Rattus norvegicus: one gene and its partner. The protein of the gene in region 2 purifies or fractionates together with the protein of the main gene of each other region. This does not show direct contact. Links are inferred from orthologs where the notes say so. Each region holds a gene or a part of one and is shown on either strand. Other genes may lie near its edges.

Region 1 (2,545 bases), on a different chromosome or scaffold from region 2:
ACAGAGCTGAGTCTGAGGACACACAAGTATTGAAACAATAGCCACTTGCTGGCGTGGGCAGAGTAAATGGCAGGAGGGACTGGGTCTCAGGTCAAGTAGGAACAGCTGGTGGCCTGTCAGTGACAAAGCTTGGTTAATGGGAAACTGGCTGCCTGCGAAGCCTAGCGAGACCACAGTTGCCTTCCTTCTCTGCCAAGTCACAGCTGGGTGACTGGCTGAGGGACACCTTGAAGCCTTCTGAGTTCCAGTATCCTGACTTGCAAAATATAGACCTTCACAGCAGGTACCTTGGGGAGACTGTGAGGTACCACAGGGTTTGATGGATTTTGAAAAGTACTGCTGAGAGCTGCTCGCAGTGCATCCCTTTCTTAATAGGAAACAGAGGTGCTGAAAATATCAGAAACCCTCTCCAGGGTGCCCCCGGCATTGGTCAGCTCTATCTCCTAGACGCCCTCTCCCTAAGGGGCAGAACTGGGTTGTCGGTCTCGTGAGCTCCCATCCTAGCTTTACCACCAAGGGCCTTTTGATAGTTGACTTTAACGTCCCCATCTGTGACTTGTGACATAGTAAGAATTTCACTTCATAGGCTATCGTGAGGATTAGCTCTAGTGTGTTAGCTTTGTCTGGTTCATAGTAAAACAGCGAATAAATACCAGCTCACTTTTTGATTGGCTCTTAGGAACCTTTGTTTTAAGAAAATGTGTATTGGTAACATCTGATGAAAGAAAAAAATAGCAGACTGCAGAGGGAGGGAGAGCCACACCTCTTTAAGAACATGACCACTGGTACTATCCCATGCCCCAGTAGATGGCCCCAAACCCATTTGTATATGGGCAGGACTAACTGGAGTCAGCGTTTCTGTTTTTGTTTTAGTTTTTGAGGACATGGATTTTGTAAGAGTGGGCGGGTACTAGGGCAAGCTGGAGGAAGGTGGTAGTAAATGGATATGATCAAGATACATTATAAAATGTATGAACTTTCAAATAATTAATAGAACATGTTATGGCAGCCCACATACATGACCTAACTGGCACTGTCACGGTAGAAAGCCCCCTTTGTCCAGCCCATACATCCCCCTTCCCACCCAGAAGCTATGTCACCAAATCTGGTGTCTATTACTCTTGAAGTCTCCTCCATCTGAATATCCCCCTTGGACACCAAAGAGTGAGAGTGGATGGAAAGCAGCTCTAAGCCAGGACTGGCACAGAGCGAGATTTAGACATAGCTGCTAGCCTGGCACAAAGCTTCATCGGGCAACAACGCCCTCCCACTCCACTGCAGTCAGTGTCCTTTCACCTCTCTGGGCCAGGATGTGTGCCTGCTGCCAGATGGATCCGTCAGTGATCCATGACGTCAGTTAGGATTCCTATTAATGAGTGTCCTCAGCAGAGTTTACATACAGAGCTACGTGTGCTTGCCAGGCACTCTGCTGACTGGAGTCTGTCCTCTCCCGTTCCAGGCAGAGATGCGGCTCCAGGACCAGCAGCTGGCCAGGCAGCTCATGCGCCTCCGAGGAGACATCAACAAAATGAAGATCGAGCAGACCTGCCGCCTGCACAGGAGGATGCTCAATGATGCTGCCTTTGAGCTGGAGGAGCGGGACGAGCTGTCCGACCTCTTCTGCGACTCCCCGCTGGCAGCCTCCTTCAGCCTTTCCACCCCGCTCAAGCTCATTGGCGTCACCAAAATGAACATCAACTCCAGAAGGTTCTCTCTCTGCTGAGAAGCCTTGGGATGGAATGGGAACCAGAGTCAAGGGGGAAAGAGAGAGGGGGCTCAGACCAAGTTACCCAAAGTGGGTCTCCCTGAGGCCATGCTGGGGAGGGAAAGGCACCAGGACCTGGTGGTAGTATGCCAGGGGCTTCAGCTTTCTATACCTGGGTCTTCGTGTTCCAGACCCAAAGAGTCACAGACACTACGTAAGACAGGGCTCTCAGCAGGATCCCTGTGGCCTTCCCCTCTGTGGCCTCTTTCCTGTGTCCTAGAATCACTGGTGCTATGATGTCGAATCCCATAGGGGACACTCCTCCCATACCCCTGCCAAAGCTTGTTCTTATAGAAAACTCTACTCTAGGGGAGCTGAGATTATTAGATTATGTAAATTATTCCCATCTCTCATGTTCTGTTACCACCTTCTTAGTGCTAGCTCTAATTGCCCCTAAGTAGGAGACTCGGCAGAGATGTGGTAGGACAGGAAAACTTAAAGGAATAACAAGGTGACACGTGGGAAAGCAGGCTTCTCTTCCATGGCTGCCAGCATCCCTGGGAAGGAACTCTGCCCAGCTACTTTGAACTTCAGCCCTGACACCACAAGGCCATGTTATTTCCAGCTTGCTCCATGACATATGACACATGTACTTTGTAGAGCTTTGGTAGAGCGACCCAGATGTCCTACTGTTTTCCGGCACAATCACTTCAGTTACTTCACTGCCACCCATAACCCTGGAGAATACCTAGCAGGCCACTGGCCACTGGTGGCTAAACTAGGCAAGGTAGGATATAGATTCCCACAAGTGAACCTACAGTAGGGGCATGACAGAGGCCT
Region 2 (4,321 bases):
CACACACACACACACACACACACACACAAAGGCACAGCATTTCCAACTTTTAATCACAGTCCGGAACTTCATGGAGGAAACCCGTCGAATGACAAACATCATCAGAGGCAAGGTGAGGACCGCCCTGCAGTGAGGCACCCAACACAAACACCGCGGGTGGGTGGGCAGGCGGCTGCGGGAGCCAGGAGCCACCTTTACACCTTAGAAACTTTTTATTACTTTTGTTTTCCAGATTTCTCAAAGATTTCCCTTAAGTTTCCTCACAGCTGAGCTGATTGTTCCCCTTCCTAAGATCCAAGAACCTACCTGCTGGTCACTAAAGACTGGCCAGGACCTGTGTGGTGGGACAAATTGGCTCTCAGAGACTTCTAAGCAGGCAGAGTGAAGTTAGGTCAGTGCTCTGGAGTGGTCTTACTAGGAGGACCACTCTTTGTCCTGTCACCAAACACACAGTGACTGCAAGTGCCTTTGCTGGTAACACCCCACTTCAAGGTTACAACAGGGCACACAGGAACATATGGAAGAGTACCTGGCAGTCTAAACTATGGTACGATTTCACTAACATTCTATCTTGTGTTTAAGAATGTTCTGTTCTAATATTTGGTTTGTGTTGTTCAGGGACACTCTCAGATAGCCCACGCTGTCTTCAAACTCAATAATGTAGCTGAGGCTAACCTTAGCCTCCTGTCTCTGCCTCCCAAATGCTGGGATTACAGGTGTGTGCGCGCCACCACAGCTGGTTTGCTCTTAATTAGAAGCTGATAGTAGGAACTGGGCTAAGAGGGTAATTTATTTGTGAGTTTTTCTTTTTTTTTTTTTTTTCGGAGCTGGGGACCGAACCCAGGGCCTTGCACTTGCTAGGCAAGCGCTCTATAGCAAGCGCTCTACCACTGAGCTAAATCCCCAACCCCAAGGGTAATTTATTTGTAATCACAATTTCCAAGAGCCAAAAGACAATTTTAAAGCTCTGTATACACTATAGCACGCAGCTTCTGTTTAGATTCAGAAAGGTCAAATATTACAAAACCTGCCCTCTCCACATGCAGAGCAGAGCAGAACGCCCTCCCAGGGAGAGCACCCAGCCTTCTGCACATCCAGTCCTGGTGCTCCCCAGGTCCTAGACCAGAAGACGCCTGGACCATACCTCCTGAGGGAAATGGCCCTTCCTTCTCTCTGCAACTCCCCTGCTCTGACGGCCCCACTGCCTGCTGCATCACTCACACACAGGGCGCCAGCTGAAGGTGGAACTGCCTAGATCTCCAGGGCCAGCGCTAAGATTGGCAAATCCAATATTGAGGAGTCTCAGATTGCAGAGTGCACTTAAGACCTCACTTTCAAAGCAACCCTGAAGCCACTGTCCAAGTGTAAATCGTGTCACCGATAGCCTCCGGAAAGCCAGTCCTCTCTCATCTATGTGACCAAGAGCAGGGGCCCTCACAACAAAGCCCCCATGACCTCCTGCTCCCAGCATCTGCGGCAACATCTCACTGAACAGCAACCAGGCAGAAGCCCTCCAGAGATGAGCCATGTCCAAGTCTCACACACAGTTCTAGATTCCAGTCGGCAATGGGGGAGGAGCAGGCCTCCGTGTCGAACACATTTTATTTCCTCGTGTAAACATCAACTTTATCTGTACCAAAGATTAGAGATGACTGGTTCAAACTGCACGGCCTTAACCCAATGACGAAAGCAACCAAGGGCAAGATTTACAGAGCTGGACCTGAACCTAACCCACACTTCCTCTTACTTAGTCCTTGTGAGGGAACTGAGGGTCTCAAGCGGAGTTACTGTTAGGATTGGTTGAAACCTTACACTCTGACCTGTCTTGGGAACTGTCAATGAATGACTCCAATCAAGCATTTGTACCACTAAAGCGCAAAAGGGTGTCCGACCTATGGATACTGCATTAGATCCCTAAATGAACCGAATACCCAAGATCAGAGGTAGAAGTTTTTAAGTGACAGTTCTAACTGCCCCCCCCCGACCCCAACACACACAGCCCGAATTATTACGAGTCTGACACGATTACAATTCGGTAGTTGGGGTGGGGTGGGCTTTGGCCTAGTGTATTTGAAATAAAGCCTTTAACATTTAAAATTCGCTTGGAGGTGCTAAAAGAAAGGGATATTCAGGCCCTGGACATCAAGGGGAGGTGGACAGGCTGTCACCTGGGTGGAGCCCTAGGGGCTGGGCTGTGGGACGATGCATTCGGAAGGCCCACCGAGCAAGGGCGGAGGGTGAGGAGATGCAAAAGACACAGGGGCTGCCCTCCCACCCGGCAGAGCCTAGGGCTGGGAGGGGTAGCTCCAGGCCCGACTCTGGACCCCAAAGGCTAGTCCGGGGCGGGGGCAGGGCGGATATCCCAGGGAGCGCTGCAGGAAATGATATCCAGACTCGGAGGGTGGGTCTAGGAAGCGGCCAGGGCGATGGCCGGGAGTGGGGGGGAGTGCGAACGGAGGATGTGGCTCCGGAGCGCAGGACCAGGGAGGCCCGGCGCGGGTCCGAGGAGTAAGAGGCGCAGGGGGGCGAGCGGCACCTTACTCACCCCACTCGAGGAACTCCGCCACATACTTGTCGCGGCGCAGCGCCGAGTGGCTGCACTCGGTGTAAAGGCACACCAGCACGTCCAGCAGCGTCTCCACGCTCAGGGAGCTCTCATTGCGCCACGGCCCGTCCAGGAGCAGCTGCTCCAGCTTCTTGAGCCGCACCTTGGCCGACATGGTGCCGCGCGGCCCGCTCCCCACGCGCCGGCCTCTCGCTGCCCGTGCGCCCCGGCGTCAGAGCCAGCACTCCCCGGCCCAGCGGCCGTGCACCCCGGCGTCCAGTAGCCGCGCAGTCCTTGTCGTCGCAGCCCGGCCTAGGCCGACATCTTGGGCTCCGTCCCGGCGGCACCGAGTCTGGGGCACCGGGCCCCGCGGGTCCATGGGCCGGTCTCCTCCCCTAGGCGCCGCCCGCACGCCCGCACGCCGTCCCCGCCCTCAGCGCCTGGCCGCGCCCTCCCGCGCTCCGTCACCGACCCGGACCGTGGCGGAGCCCAGCACCGCGCAAACCCGGCCGGCGCCCGAGCCTGACCTCAGCCCGGCCGGCCGCCCAGCCCGCGACCTGCAAGCCAACCAGGGCGCGGCCAGCGCGGCGCAGCCAACCACCGCGGGGCCGACCGCCGCCGCGCTGACCTCAACGCGACGCCCCGCCCTCGGCCCGCAACGATCCGCCGCTCTTTGGGCCTCGCGATTCGCCGTAGGAACGGTGTGGGGCGGGGTGCCCAGTGCGAAACCGAGATTGCGGGTGGCGCACGCGCATAGGAGCGCGGGCGGGGCGGCTAGCCAGGCTGTGTGTGCCCTAGGTCCCATAGTTCGGCTCTGTTCTCGGGCCTCCGGACCGACCCTCGTGGCCGAGCGGCCTCGAGAGCATCGCTGCTGGGTTTCGGTTGAGCTTGTCCGAGATGTGGACGGACAGTGCCCTGTGCCCGAGTGCGCACAGGAGACGCGGGTGGGGCACCTGCCGAGAGGCTCCGGGATCCGCTGGACGCGCGCTCCCCACTAGGCAAGCGCCACTGGGAATGCGCAGTGCCCTGCCTCGTCTGTGCAGATTCTACCTCCTGACTGATTATTAGGCTGTCCACCCGGTGGGGAGTAGACTGTTGCCTCGAGGCGAGTCGCCGCGTTTGCTCGATTCGGCGGCTGAGAAGGTTGATGTAAAAATATCCCTTACGACAATCCCCCAGCCTCCGCAGAGGAGGAGCCCTTTGTAGACCCCAAGGTTGCTTCAAAAGAATGGGGGCTTGTGGTGCAGTAGAGGAGGGGCAGGTGGGGTTTGGAAGCCGGAAGCTGAGAGGAGCCTGAGGCAAAACGCTGGGTGGAGGGCCGAATGGCGACTCACGCGCAGGAAGCGACTGAAGAGTCCCTGGAATGATGCATGACTTGATTGGGGATACGAGGCACACATACAAGCCTCCACGCTGTCTTCAAAATTCACGCGGGTCAATATGCGTGTGCATCTAGCTTAGTTTTCAAAACGCAGGCAAAATAGCCCAGTGTAGTAGGTTGGATAGAGCGAATCTTCGTCAGACCTTTATTATTGTGAGGGAATCTATACGATATAAAGTATATTCACGAGTTACTGCATGTATGTGATGCCCAGTTTTTAAAACTTAAAATGAAAGCCCAAGAGAATCGTCCTACCCAAAACTAGAATCTAAGCACTGTTAGTAGGACAAAGACCCAAAGTAGTCTGACCAGACAACTGCATTTTCCCCCTGACAGCCCCCATGCTTCCTCTTTGTCCCGTAAGTTTGCTCATGAGTGTTTTCTCTGGCCGGCCC

What was found. The genes of interacting proteins can lie anywhere in the genome.
Region 1: the proteins of Cdc42bpb (region 2) and Fam167a purify together in Homo sapiens (co-immunoprecipitation; 3 studies listed by BioGRID and IntAct, counting the BioPlex papers as one, with this or other methods). This does not show direct contact. The link is inferred for Rattus norvegicus from reciprocal best matches to the Homo sapiens genes CDC42BPB and FAM167A.

What each region holds. Positions count from the first base shown.
Region 1 is NC_086033.1:41,886,867-41,889,411, forward strand, and holds part of Fam167a (protein FAM167A), read left to right. Parts: intron 1-1,459; coding exon 1,460-1,723; 3' UTR 1,724-2,545.
Region 2 is NC_086024.1:136,234,763-136,239,083, forward strand, and holds the start of Cdc42bpb (serine/threonine-protein kinase MRCK beta), read right to left. Parts: upstream 2,809-4,321; 5' UTR 2,721-2,808; coding exon 2,546-2,720; intron 1-2,545. UniProt on the Homo sapiens protein: Serine/threonine-protein kinase which is an important downstream effector of CDC42 and plays a role in the regulation of cytoskeleton reorganization and cell migration. Regulates actin cytoskeletal reorganization via phosphorylation of PPP1R12C and MYL9/MLC2.